Linked DNA regions of Sus scrofa. The protein of the gene in region 1 purifies or fractionates together with the protein of each later gene. This does not show direct contact. Links are inferred from orthologs where the notes say so. Each region holds a gene or a part of one and is shown on either strand. Other genes may lie near its edges.

Region 1 (7,097 bases):
CGTCAATAAAAAGGTCAGAATGGTCAGTGTTCTCAGCACAATTTGAAGATGTGGCTAAGCTGCTGAAAGTACTTTTATGACATAAAAATCAACGATAAAGTTCCAAGATTTCATAGAAGCAAATATCTCGACCAAGTCAACATCTATCTTCCATTCTTTTTTAAAAAAGGAATGAAAGAAAAAATGGTCCGTACATGCCATCTGCCACCCCCAGACAAAAATGAAAACCAAACAATTATTCTTAAATTCTCATGTTTCAATATCAAACTTACTGTGACGTTTAAATTCCTTCTGTAGCTTACTGATCTGGTTGCTTTTTATCCTGTTTCCAGATAGGGTTTTCACTTTCTTTGGTTTCAGTGTAGTCTTTAGACTAGGTCCTGCCCTTGCATCTACCACCTGGAAGAAAATACTGAATATTTAATACCATTTAAAAAATGACACCTCTGTATTCCCTTGGTTCAGATGAATGTTTATTTGAAGGAGCCAAATTTGAAAACCACAGTTTTCTACTCAGTGTTTGAGAGCCCATGGGCACTTTTAATCGTCACATGGTATTAAAGAACAGTTTATCTAGGGGCTTTATTCTTTTTTTTTTTTTTTTGTCTTTTTGTCTTTTTAAGGCCGCACCCATGGAGGTTCCCAGGCTAGGGGTCTAATGGGAGCTACAGCTGCCAGCCTACACCACAGCCTCACATCACTGAGTGAGGCCAGGGATTGAACCCGAAACCTCATGGTTCCCAGTCAGATTGTTTCCACTGCGCCACAACGGGAACTCCTAGGGGTTTTATTCCTTTGAAGTAAGTAATAGCAGGAGTCTGCTGGACCAAAAATTCCTATCAATTTACATATGGTGAAAATGACCTAAGTAGGTTAAGAAAAACCAAGCCTAACAACATTTAACTTTTCTACGGGATGATGTTTTTCAGCTTTCACATTTTTGATTTTAACTTTACCACAAAGCAGTAACTATTTTTGTTACTACAATTTTTAAGGTAAAGAAAAACAAGAAATAGCAAACTATGCATTTTGACTAATTTCACTTATTTATTACCAAATGGGCAAGGGTGGGTGGGGAAGGGGCCCAGACTAAAATGAAGGTTCAGACCTACGCTTTATGCTCATTTTAGTCCACACCCTTAATCCCTGAGGTTAGCTATGTGACAGCAATGGCACGTTCTCTGTGGCCAAGCATGACCTTTGGTCTAATCCTATGTGGTCCCACTTCTCACGCCTTCATTCACATTTACTATTTGCAGATTTCTACCCTTACATATAAAGACTGACGTTACCTTCAAAGGCACAATTTAGATCTTTCCAGATAAGCTATTAATTAAAGAAAAACTCACATTTTTATAAATTAACAGACTCATAGAAACTATCCTAATAATGTAACATTGTCACCAAAGGACAGTGTAAGGCTAGTGTAAGAAAAAAGACAAAGATAAATGCTTGCTGGAGTTCCCATCATGGCACAGTGGAAATGAATCTGACTAGGAACCATGAGGTTACAGGTTTGATCCCTGGCCTCGCTCAGCGGGTTAAGGATCCAGTGTTGCCGTGAGCTGTGGTGTAGGTCAAAGACGAGGCTCGGACCTGGCGTTGCTGTGGCTGTGGTGTAGGCTGGCAGCTACAGCTCCAATTAGACCCCTAGCCTTGGAACCTCCATGTGCCTCTGGTGAGACCCTAAAAAGACAAAAAGACAAGCAAACAAAAAGAATAAATGCTTGCCTGCTTAAAAATGAGTATTTTATATAAATATAATAAATCTTCTGAAAGCACAAAAAAAATTAGACAGCAGACGTAAGTGTTGTTCTGATCACTGAAAATATTTTCTAAAGAATTCTAGTGACATTACAAAGTGAAATGCAAATAGAAAACACATTTACATGCCAGTTTGATCTCAACTAAATTTAAATACAGAATATTAATAGCTTCTGAGAGATTACTATGCATAATACTTTATATATATCTTCTCATTCAGTTCTCACAACAGCTCTGTAAGATAACTATTTATCTCTGCACTTTATAAATAAATGTCACGTGCCCAAAGTTCACAACTAGAGTGGTAAAGGCAGGATTCGAATCCTGTTGACTGAAAACCTACATGCTCATTATCAATACAAGCTAAGGTATATGTTTTCCTAAGAGATGAGAAAAAGGACCTATGTCTAACTAACTCTAGGAATTTCTGGGTTAAATCTGAAAATATGGGAAATATATACTGTGACTTTCCAATATGGGGATATCTGATACAACCTTAGGGAAACACCATATCAAGCTATTTCGCTCCCAAACATGCCGAAATGTCAAGTGATGATATCTGAGCAGCAACTAGCATTTTCTTTATTCTTTTCAGACTTTTCCACCCTGGGAACATATTATTTCCAAAATTAGGGGGGAAACTAATGTTACTTTAGTATATAGGAAAAGGTATAACTGAGAAAGATGAAAGACAAACTCACATGATTCCAGTTTTTTTTTGATCCTGCTGGCAACTTCTTCCATCTTTTCACAAGCAGGACACAGGCATTACAGATGTCTCCTGAACGAGTCTCATGTAACCTGATAAGAAAACAATCAAACCTTTATTAGTCTCCCTTAAAGGATTCATGCAAGTACATTTCTTTTAGAAAAAATTCATCTATTTATAGTTTATAGATGTTCTTTCTAATTGTTCTGGGTGATCTAGTGCCATTGTTTTCTGTAGTACATTTCAGAAATATAATCAACTTCTATATCCAATGAACCAATTCTATGTGCTGCAATTTGGTCATTTCACAACAATGTTTTTTAAATTAAGCACTAGTAAAATTTAAGACCTAAGAAGATCCTGGTCTCCATGGCTTTAAACAATGCTGTCCAATTAATCTTTCTTGAAATATACACATAATTCATAAGCAATAAAACACGCCACCCTTTACGTAACACAATGTGCCAAAATACTGTAGTTTTACAACAAACAAAATCAGATAGGCACTGTAATTTTTTTTAAATGATTGCACCTGCATGGAGGAAAGAACTCTATAGTTAACCAAGCTATTTTTTAAATGTATCTCTGAGGAACTTTTAACTTATTTTATTTTTTTGTATTATAAATATATATGGGAAAATAAAAATAACATTTATTACATATACAACTGGAAAAAAACACATTAAGAGAAATATGTAATTTCAGGAAGTTCCCAAGTGGCACAATTCGTTAAGGATCTGGCTGCCGCACCTGTGGCTTAAGTTGCAACTGCAGCACCAGTTTGATTCCTGGCCTGGGAACTTCCACATGCTGCAGATGCAGCCAAAAGAGAGAGAATGTAATTTCAAAAGGCAAGGTTGGTTGGTAAAGACTCTTTAAAATAACTACAAAGTTGGAGTTCCTGCTGTGGCACAGTGGGTTAAGAATTCAACTGCAGTGGCTGGGGGTGATGCAGGTGCATGGGTTTGATCCCTAACCCAGCACAGTGGGTTAAAGAATCTGGTGTTGCTACAACTGCAGCATATGCCACAGCTGCGGCTCAGATTCAATCCCTGGCCTGGGAACTTCCATATGCTACGGGTGTGACTATAAAAAATAATAACATCTATAACTACATAGTCTAGGATTAACAGTAAATAAACAAATGTTCTGATAAGAAAAACACAGTGGTGAAATTAATTCTAACATGAGAAATGGTTCAAGATTAAGGATTTTATTTCATCCAAGTATTTGCTGGAAAGTAAATTCCATTTTATTAAGCAGAGGTTTATTGCCAAAAGATAAATAAAGAATAAAATTATAAAATAAAAGCTAGGTTTCGGGGCAGAACATTAAGTCCTGTTAGTATCCTCAGCAGACTGGGCTAAATGGATTTCTATAGCTTAGAAAAACAATACAAAAGACAGAAAACTAGTTCAACTATTCTAACAGAGAATACGTTAATCTTTTTAAAAACATTTTTGTACATCCTGAAGTTAACAACAAAAGGGTGTATTTGGTTATAACTTCTAAGGGGCCTCACAATTAATTTGGCAGTTCCTCCTAATCTGGAAAAGGGTAGGCTGTCAGTATTGCTTGATTTGTTTTACGAGCAAGTGCCTTGAAATAAGAGATTAGAATTAGCATATATGTGATTTTAATTATTAGCACACTACTCCAATCCCTTTGCTTAGAAACATTTCCATATACTGAAATCTCTTTCACTTTAAAAATGGTACAAACATCAGATGGTCTTACCCAAAACAGCTCTGGAAATCCTTTTCATAGCGTTTACTGTCAGTGAAGCGAGAACTAGAGGATTTAGCTCTGCAAATACAGCAGCCCTCTATACTTCGGTACATCTTTGGCTTGTGAAAACCAAACATCTTTTCTTCTGGGCAAGTCTGTAAAGCCAAGGGAATTGACACAGCTTTGTTGAGGGCTCTAACAAGAAACCATTAAAAGAGAAATCTCTGCTCCACCCCACCCCCAGCAACGTGTTATTACATGACTGAGCCTGACAGGAGCACTCCGGGGAAGACCCCCTCCTGGCAAACACTCATCCTAAAAACTGCAGGAAGGAGGTATTTTCTCAAACTCCAGATTTTAAGCAGAAAATACAACACACCCTTCCCACTATCCTGTGAAATAATGGAATCATAACACAATGGAGGACACATCCTAAAATTTAAGCTAAGGTACACCCTTTTACTTTGCACCTCTGCATGAATGTGATTCCCCCTTGGAAAGTTTTGGACACGATATGATACTAAGCACAGAAGTAGTTCAATATGTATCACCTACACTTCTTTGCCCTATGGGAAATTAGAGGGGATTTCTTCTCTGATAAATGGGGAAGTTCTTAGCAGGCAATTGGGCCCTGAATTGAAACTACTGAAAGGGAGGCTGTAAAATTCACAAAAATCCAGGGTTATAGTAATTTAAGAATAATAATTTCATAAATCATTAAGACAAATTAAGAATGAGCTCACACTGCCTGACCAGTGGTGTGTCCTTCAGTTGTTAGAGAGGTCTTTGAAGCTCTTCAATGAGGTGCAGCGTCTGAGAGCAGTTAACAGTGGGAGGCCGATGTTCAAAAATAGTGAGATAAACCGTGATTCCCATGATCAAAAAAAAAAAAAAAAAAAAAACCCTCAACATGAAGCGAGGAAGGAAGAAACAGCTCTAGGGGTGGCAAAAACATGTACCTTGTAAGTAATGTAGAATATCCAAACCAAGGACCAACTTCACCAGGACATCTGGACTAAGAGAGGTGATGAAAAGGTGGTGAACAGAAACTAAATCCCAAGGGACAAATCCAGAGTGGCAGGGAGGGTGTGTGTGTGTGTGTGTGTGTGTGAGGGTCTCACAAAAGTAACAAATAAAGCATCAATAAAAGGAATTATTAATACTAATTAGATTTGTGGCCATAGTTTTAAGAGATGTAACCACAGAATACCATCCTTTTAAAAGTTCTTTTGGGTTGGGGAATACACTGGGGGTATGGGATAGAAATCCTACAAAACTGGATTGTGATGATCACTGTACAACTATAAATGCAATAAATTCACTGAGTAATAATAATAAAAATTCCCTGAATGTTAAGCCTGTGGTAAGCCATCTTTTTATGGAAGAGCCAAAATAAAAACACAAAAAGTTAAAAAAAAAGTTATTTTAGAAATACACTCAAATATATGAGGAAAACAAAAACATCATTATTTGTCTTTGGATGATCTCTTGCCTGATCTCATCCCATTCCAATTCTGTTTAGCCATACCAGAGCAAGTATTTATGAAAGTGATTCAGAGAAACAACCAAATAGTCAGGCTGTGTTTGTGTGCGAGAGAGCGAGATTGAGGGATTCTGAAATACAGAGGATTTATAATTTGTTTTTAAGAAAATATTTTATCAGCAAAGAATTAACTAAAAACACAAGTTTTCCTTTTAAACAGGGGCTATTGTTCATCAAGTGTTCTTCTTTGATGTTTTTGTTGGTGAGGGAGGCAGGCAAAAGGGAGATGGGGTGGGGCAGAAGTCCACTGATGCATTTCAATAATTAAGTCTAAACTAACAGTTATTTTAAGAATTGCTAAAACAAGAAAATAAAATATTCTTAGTTGACTGAGTTAATTGTTTGCACTAAATTAGTTTTTCGAAAGGAAATAATGAGGAAGGTGTTCTATATATGTAAAGGTGTAGGCCTGTGAAACGAGGTAGATTTTTTTTTTTTTCGGTCTAACAACAAATCCACATGAAAAGTGCCTTCTAAAGAAAATGGTCATCTGTTGCACTGGAAAAAAACAATGTCAAATGACACAGGTTTACAGAAACTTTAAAAGAAGAAGTGCTAAGAAAGTAGAAGTTATTGCTTTAATTTGTATATTCCTGTTTCGAGGCCAAAATGGAACAGAACTCTTTCTATTCCTTACACCAACCTGTGGGCTTTCCAAACCCCCCCAATCACCATCAAGGTCAAAAGTCCACAGTTCCCCTTGCAGCTTCATCAACAGCTCTAGGAAACTTCAGCCTCCCTTCTCAGCAAGGACAAAGCAAGCACAGCGAGAAAGGCCAGTTCATTCCATTAATACACAGACCAAATCCTATTACAACAGACAGATTCCTATTTCTACTCTCACAATCCCCTTCTCTCCCAGAAATAAACATGCCATCAAAACTATACAAAATTCAGATCATCTTCAATATGTAAACTACCATCACTGAGGCTGGATTTGACCATGAAGCCATAGTGTGCCCGATATCATGCTGGCAAACTGGTTAAGGAATACTAGAGCTACAGCTAAATACTGGGGGGAATGGAGGGGGGGGTTCCTTCTCACCAGCAGCTGTTGTGAATCAGTGTTTATCTTCAATATGATCTTTATTGGTGGGGAGGATTTCCATAAAACTTAACCAAGAGTACCAGTGAAACTATCCGTTCTTCAGCTTGAGGAATGTTCTTCTTAGACATCAGGGAAAATACAATAGCCTGATATCTCTGATTGATAATCTTTTATGCAGTTCTGTGATCTTGTTTTTCCTGACAAAATTATTCTGGCCTAGCATCTGAAAGAAGCCTAAATCCTAGAGTTTACCCTCTTCCAGGAAGTGCTAAATACAGGAAGGGGGCAGACACTTGTCCTAGGGA
Region 2 (7,845 bases), on another chromosome or scaffold:
CCCTAGCCTGGGAACCTCTGTGTGCCTCGGGTGTGGCCCTAAAAAGCAAAAAAAAAAAAAAAAAAAAAAAAAATCTGAGCCACAGCTGTAACCTGTGCCACAGCTTCAGCAATGCCGGATCCTTTAATCCACTGTTTGGGACTAGGGATTGAACCTGCACCTCCACAGTGACCCAACCTGCTGCAGATTCTTAACCCACAGTGCCACAGCAGGAACTTTTTAGCAACTTTTTTTTTTTTTTTTTTTTTTTTTTTTAGGGCTACACCTGTGGCATATGAACATTCCCAGCTAGGAGTTGAATCAGATACAGCTGCCAGCCTATACCACAGCCACAGCAAGGCCTGATCATTAACCCACTGAGCTGGGCCAGAGATCCAACCCACATCCTCGAGGATACTAGTTCAGTTCTTTTCCACTGAGCCACACGGGAACTCCTTGGGAACTTTTTATGCTTTATAAAAATGAGAATGAAAATACGTATGTGTACTATTGCCTACATTTTAAATGTGCACTCGCCCACACTCGTGCACATATTCGTGCATCCTTCAGAATTCACTCATGCCCAAAGTGGAATTGGCTTGTGGTTGCCTGTCCTCCAAATGAGTGAGGGCCTCTTCTGACCCTATGAGACCTATGAAAAGAATGGAAAACTGAAAGTGATCCTTGTGGGAGGGGGACACTGTGTGAGAACCCTGGGGCAGAACAGAAGCCTATATATGCCATTGGTTCTCAGGACAGGGACTGTTGCCGGAAGGTTTGGGTGTGGAGAGGACTGACTGTTTAGACTCTGTGGCCTCAGAGTTTGGTTCGGGCCATCTTAGCTGAACACACTGAAACTAAGCAGAATCATTTTGTGGGCTGGGAGCCTCGAATCCTCCATGCTTGCTTACCCCTCTTCCCCTCATCATGTGTTCTCTGCTTTGTCTTCTAAATATCACTCCCTTCCACTCCCTTCTCTCCACCTCCCCTGCCCCCAGCCTGGTCTAAGCTACCATCGTCCTTCGCCTGCCTAAATGATGAAACAGTCTTCCTGCACTGTGCCTGGCTCCTCTCCAACCACTTCTCTGCAGAGGAGTCAGATCATTTGCTTCTAACTTCAAAGATGCTCAAACAGCTCCTTGCATGGAACCCATGTGCAGTTTCTACCAGCACTAAATGCCAAGATCAAAAGCCTTAACTCACCCCACAAGAATGAGAGTTCTGCTTCCTCCGTCCTCTCCACTTTTTTTTTTTTCTTTTCAGGGCTGCACCTCTGCATATGGAAGTTCCCAGCCTAGGGGTCAAATTGGAACTGCATCTGCCAGCCTACATCCACAGCCAGAGCAACGCTGGATCTAAGCTGCATCTGTGACCTATGCCACACCTCGTGGTAATGCCAGATCCTTAACCCACTGATCAAGTCCAGGGATCAAACCCACACCCTCCCGGATACTATGTCAGGTTCTTAACCCATTGAGCCACAACGGGAACTCCTCTTCTCTCTTTTCCTGCACCCTCTCCCTCCCTCTCTCATTCCTCTGCAGTCCAAGAACATTGGCCTTTTTTTTTTTTAATTCTTCAAATGTGCTACACTCCTCCCCACCACAGGGCCTTTGCACAGCCATTCCCCTGACTTTCATGGTGAACACTTATACATCCTTCAGAACTCAGCTAGAATGCCACCTCTTCTTATTCCTTGCTAGAATGGATTAAGTGCTTTGGGTGGTATTTTCCAAAAATGGTCATGGCAATATTTCCTATCCCCCATGCTATTTCAGAATCTGGCCACCTCCTAGGTTCTGGAGTCTGTTTGCCCTCCTCTTGAGTTTGGGAGGGACTTTTGATTCTCTGTGACTTGCAAGAGTGGATCAGGAAAGGCTATAAGTTTTCCTCCTAGCTCACATGTTCCTCTCAGGATGATTGGGCTTGGAAGCCAGGTGCCATGTTGTGAGGAAGCTCAGGCTACATGAGGAGGCCATATGTAGGTATTCCTGGCAACAGCACTGGCAGTGGTTTAGATCTACAGCAAGAAGCAACTGGCACATGTGTAAACCTTCAGGGGATTCCAGCCTCAGCCTTCCAGGCGCCCAGCTGACCCTGAGGGACCAGGCATTAGCTATCCCTGCCAAGTCTGCCTAAATTCCAGAATGGAGAGCAAAATAAATATTATTATTATTGTAAACCTCTAAATTTTGAGGTAGCTTGTTACATAGCCATAGTAACTGGAACACAATACCTTTTTTTTTCTTTTTTTTTGCTTTTTTGGGCCGGCATATGGAGGTTCCTAGGCTAGGGGTCCAATCGGAGCTACAACTGCCAACCTACACCACAGCCTTAGCAACTCAAGATCCAAGCTGCATCTGTGACCTACACCACAGCTCACAGCAATGCCAGATCCTTAACCCACTGAGTGAGGCCAGGGATCGAACCCAAAACCTCATGGTTCCTAGTTGGATTCATTTCCACTGTGCCATGACAGGAATTCCCAATAACTATTATATTTGTATGTTCTCTCTGAAGTATTTGTTACAAGTGAGCTTTACATCTATGTATGTGATTATTTGATTCCAATCCTCTTGAAAGGCTGATGGCTCTGTGAGTGTAAAAGCCTGGTCGGTTTTGTTCACCCTTCTACTCCTGACCCCTGGCAAATGATGCACTTGTTGCCAATGTATTCTCAGCTTTCCTGCACCTCTTCACACATTGAAAAAAAAGATACTGGAGTTCCCATTGTGGCTCAGTGGTTAATGAATCCGAACATGAGGTTGTGGGTTTGATCCCTAGCCTTGCTCAGTGGGTAAGGAGCTGGTGTTGCCATGAGCTGTGGTGTAGGTCACAGACGCGGCTTGGATCTGGCATTGCTGTGACTCTGGCGTAGGCCAGCAGCTGCAGCTCCAATTAGACCCCTAGCCTGGGAACCTCCCTATGCTGCGGGTGCGGCCCTAAAAAGACAAAAGACAAAAAAAGAAAAAGAAATAGGAAGACCTTGGAGGTTTGGAAGCAGCTATGGAATGATAGTTCTTGATAGCACTGGGGCTGGAAAAACTGGTTAAGAGGCTCCCGAACCAGTGGGAGGGTCCAGTGGGGAAGTGATAGGGTCAGGAACCAAAGGCTCCAGTGGGGAAGTCATGGGGTCAGGACTAGAGAAGCGAAGAGAGGAGGAACAGGACTAAGTCAAGAGCAATTTGGCAAACCCCGTGGCCCTGAACTAGGGTGCTGTGTGCCCATACCAGGTTGTCACATCAACCCTACAAGTACGAGTCAAGAACATTTTATTATATATCAGGCTGTGTAGATCTTAGCGTCTGTCGCAGTTATTCACCCCGCTGTTGTACTGCAAAATTAGCCAGAGATGACAGGTAAACAAGTGGGCATGCCTATGTTCCAATAAAACTTTATTTTTGCAGACACTGAAATTTAAATTTCATAGAATTTTCACGTGTCACGGAATAGTCTTCTCCCTTGGATTTTTCTTCCAACTTTTAAAATTGTAAAAATTATTCCGATCTTGCTTTGGGGGCCAGACAGAAGCAGGCGGCAGGTTTTGGTTTGCTCACAGTGGTATATGTCAGGACAGTCGCGTTTCAGTTTTATGGGGTAAGATCCTACCGCAGAGTCCTTGAAAGAGCCCCGCCTTCAGGGCGGAGCCAGCGCATGCGCGGCCGGCCCCCGGGCGGGGGCGGGGCGGGCTGTGGCTCCGACTTCCAACATGGCGCACGCTGGCGGTGGCGGCGGCGGCGGCCCAGCGGGCCGGGGGCTGAGCGGGGCCCGCTGGGGTCGCTCGGGCTCTGCGGGCCATGAGAAGCTGCCAGTGCACGTGAGTGGCGCCCCAGCTCTCCCTCGAGCACCCCGTCGTCCAGTTCCCGCAGGCCGGCGCCCCCCACCCAAGCCCCGCCCGGCCCCGGCCCCGCCTCGGCCTCCTCTCCGCGCAGCCCCAGACCCCCGACTCCCCACCTCCGCTCCTTGAGGCCCAGCCGGTTGCCCCTCCCGCCAGGGTCCCCCGCCCCCTCCTCCGCAGACCGCGGCCCACCTGGACTTTCCCCTCCCCGCAGGTGGAGGACGCCCTCACCTACCTGGACCAGGTGAAGATCCGTTTCGGCAGCGACCCTGCCACTTACAACGGCTTCCTGGAGATCATGAAGGAATTCAAAAGCCAGAGGTACCTGCCGGGCCCCTGCCCACCCCAGGGGACCGTCCTGGGCCGCAGTCAGCCTGAGCTGGGTGGGAGCCCCTTACCCTGGCTGCCCCATGACGGGGTGACCTTGCCCAGGTGGTCAGAACTTAGCGGATCCTCAGTTCCTTCTTAAAAAAAAAAAAAAACTGGGACGGGAGGGACCCCCCGGGAGGGACCCCCCCCCCTTCACCCGCCCCGCCGTGGCCCTGTTGTGGGGATTCCTGGACCGAGGGCAGGGATGGGGTGAGGCAAGTGAGCAAACACAGGGTAGGATCCCGTCTTTACTCAAAATGTTGATTTTTAAGTGAATTTCATTTTTCGAGGCTTTTTAAAAGTTAATTTTTATCTTTTGATCAAGCAGTGCATGAAAATGTTATTAATTTTGGTTATCGACCGTATTGGCACTGTGTCCCTCTTAAATCTTATCCCCAAGGTGAGTTCCTCACTCCCTTCACTCCAGTCCCAGGCCTACTTGAAGTAATGCGCACAAAATGCTTAGTAAGGAATCTGGCACTAAGAAGGCATTTAAAACATGTTAGCTGTTTTCACAGGCACTGAATCAGGAGGGTTAGAGATAGATGGGAGACCTCCCTCCCGATGGTGCTCTTGTTGGAAAGGATGCTCATTGAGGCTTAGAGTGGGTCAAGGGGTTGTCCAGACCCACCTTAGGGGCAGAGGCGGGACCAGAACTGGTTCTGTCTGACTTAGATTCGCCAGTGTCACATCCCCTCCGTGCTGCTTCTCCCTCTAAGGAAACAGGGTAGGGCCCACCTGGTTGCCTTCCACAGGCACAAGGCTAAAGCCTTGGCCCTGACTGCAGCCCTGAGGGAGACCCCATCTCTGCCCTCCGATTCTTATGCCACTTCCATACTTGCATGGCCTTTGCATTATAGTCAGTTGCTGGGAACAACTCCAGTGTCATAGTCCATCTCTAATTCATGCGAAATGGAGGAATTTATCTCCCCTTTAGAGGGTTTTGACATGTCACTTCTTGGAGCCCACAATTTAAAATTGGCTCTCCTGACATTTTCAGAACCTAGCACATGTGCTTGCAGTGTTTTGGGAGCCGTGCTGTGTACATATTCTGTGGATTTTGCCAGGAAGGCACTGGGAGCCCAGGCCTGGCTGCCTTAGCAGCGGATCACCACCAGCAGAATCACTCCAGTCACATTTTAGGGTGGTTGGTTCTTTGTCCGTTGAGAAGCTTGTGACATGGCACGGTTAAGGGAGTCACGAGTAGATTTCTCTTTTAATCTGCTCCCCAGGACGCCTCTGCCCACTCTTGTTCTTCTTTGTTCTAGTATCGATACTCCAGGAGTCATCCGGCGAGTGTCACAGCTATTCCACGAACACCCTGACCTCATTGTCGGATTCAACGCTTTCCTTCCTCTCGGCTACAGAATAGACATTCCCAAGAATGGCAAGTTAAACATACAGTCGCCTCTGTCGAGCCAGGTATGCGGCTGCCGTGGTTTGAATGATCTGACCTTAGCACAGCCCACCCTGGTACGCAGGCCGGGCAGCGTGTCTCGTGTACTTCATTGCTAGAAAGGTGGTGAAGATCTGGTCTTTTTCCTGAAATGCTTCTAACGCAAATCAAAATAGATCAAAACACCTACCCAGGCAGGCTCTGCATCCCAAATTGATCCTTTTGGCAGATTTAAATCAGGAGTGGATGTGTTTGTGCGTGCCAGGGAGGCATTCTTCTAACACAGTTTTATGTCCAGTCAAGATAATTGTGTCCACAGTCACTGAAGTCTTGGTTGGAGGTTCTTCCTCTGAGTGCCTTAGGCAGGCCTCACTTGTACTTGGGCCTGTGGCCCCTTCTGATCACCCTCAGTGCCACCCACAAAATAAAAGCAGCAGAGGTGCATGTGTGACTAGCCATTTTTGTTGCTGTGCTTCATTTACCTGCTGACAGGATCATTGACTGAGCTCAGGCTTGTGGCTTTGGTCCCTTCTTTCTTAAATGACAGCTTGCTGCCTCTTCTGTCTCTGCAGTCCCTCCTTGCTTGAGCTCACCAGACTCCCTGAGAAAAAGCCTGTTTGAGCTTTACTTTTCTAAGGTAACCATTGTCTTTTTCTCTCCTCGACCCTGTTGCCGTGTAAGGCATAACACTTTGCTGTGGGGGTGTTGTCCAGGGCATCATGGAGTGTTTAGCAGTGTCCCTGGCCTCCACCCACTAGATCCCCACCCAGTCAAGACAGCTAAAAATGTCTCCAGACATAGCCAAGTGTCTCCTGCGGGCAAAATTACTGCGTTGAGAACCACTGGTGTAAAGGAACCAGCTCTTGCAACCTCCTCCATCTCTGCCCCAGGGGTTTTTGCGGGGAAGGTAAAAATCTACTCTGGAAGCATTTTGTAGGTTTCTCCTCTGATAAAGGAGATTGCAGAGTGTCCTATCAATTAAGGAGTCAGGATTTGAAAAGAGAACAGCAAGAGGCAGTGTGGCACTGGCTGGTCCTTCTCCAAGGGGGACTGGCACATAAATTCTGCCTTTTCTCTACGCAAGGCAAGCTCCACCATCAGCACATTGTCTCATTAAAGCTGAGGAGTGTGTATGTTTTAAAAAGGAACTTGGAAGGCTTCAGCCACTGAATTCCAAAAGGCTTCCATTTCATATTTGCAAATGGAGCCCCAGGATCCAGAGGTAGCGCTTCAGCCTCCAGATGATAAAAGCCTTAGCGGAGATTAATCTTCAGAACAATCACAGCCAGGGGAGGAAAGCAAGCTCATCTGCAGCAGTGGTGCAGGAGCGTTTTGCCGGATCTGAAGCGCTGCATAAATGCTGGCTGTCATTACCATCACTCTGCTAAAAAGAGCCAGAGTCCAGGGCCTAAATTGCACTCTATGTGTGGAACTCGCCTTTCTCAAGCCCTGTTGGGGTGCTGCTCTCTGGGCTGGATCTCCCCACGAGCCTCACCTTCCCTTCAAGAGCCCTAAGGCCCTGGCCACTCCACAGCTTCAGGAATTGTTGGAGAGATAAGGAGACAAGACCAGTCTGTCTGCCCCTGGGTGGATTTGGTGACCGCAGGTCTATTAACTCAAAGAGAGGCTTGATGAGAATTTTCCCTTAATAGCTACTTACTAGGGTTTTATAGTCTGGCTGTAGCCCGGCAGCCTTAGATATGGCCCCTTCCTCCTTTGGAGAGGGACAGCCTTTCGTTCCCTTGGGGCATGTGCCGCCCACTTGGTTTCAGTCGTGTACACAGATCAGCCACGTTTCCAGCCCTGCTTCACTCCAGGCACAAACAGGATGTCTGCTCAGCTTCCTAGAGGCCTTTTTCGGTCCATGGTACCCTGTGAACTTTACAGGGCTCCCTACACACCAGCACCCTGGTAATTTTTTTTTCTATTGGTTTTTCCAGCTTCATTGCTTGGAAGTAGAGCTCTGAGAGAGAGAGAGAGAGAGAGAGAGAGTGTGTGTGTGTGTGTGTGTGTGTGTGTTGCCATTTTTTAATTTGTCATGAGTCCTGACAACTACAGACAAGGAGAGAGTAGTTCTTAGGTGCCGAGGAGGAAAAATAAGTCTTGGCCTTTGGGGGGCCCTTTGTGCACTGTTGCCCTTGGGGCCAGATCATTCTTTCTCATGGGGACCATTCCATGTGCTTGAGGGTGTGAGCAGCATCCTTGGCCTCCACCCACCTGATGCCAGTAGCACCCCCTCCCCCAGGTGTGACCATCTAAAACA

Evidence for each region. The genes of interacting proteins can lie anywhere in the genome.
Region 2: the proteins of FAM60A (region 1) and SIN3B purify together in Homo sapiens (affinity purification with mass spectrometry; 3 studies listed by BioGRID and IntAct, counting the BioPlex papers as one, with this or other methods). This does not show direct contact. The link is inferred for Sus scrofa from reciprocal best matches to the Homo sapiens genes SINHCAF and SIN3B.

The regions. Positions count from the first base shown.
Region 1 is NC_010447.5:42,942,707-42,949,803, reverse strand, and holds part of FAM60A (protein FAM60A), read right to left. Parts: intron 4,357-7,097; 5' UTR 4,339-4,356; coding exon 4,211-4,338; intron 2,566-4,210; coding exon 2,466-2,565; intron 400-2,465; coding exon 273-399; intron 1-272. UniProt on the Homo sapiens protein: Subunit of the Sin3 deacetylase complex (Sin3/HDAC), this subunit is important for the repression of genes encoding components of the TGF-beta signaling pathway.
Region 2 is NC_010444.4:60,787,449-60,795,293, reverse strand, and holds the start of SIN3B (paired amphipathic helix protein Sin3b), read left to right. Parts: upstream 1-3,633; 5' UTR 3,634-3,688; coding exon 3,689-3,796; intron 3,797-4,031; coding exon 4,032-4,138; intron 4,139-5,454; coding exon 5,455-5,608; intron 5,609-6,154; exon of another isoform or gene 6,155-6,219; intron 6,220-7,845.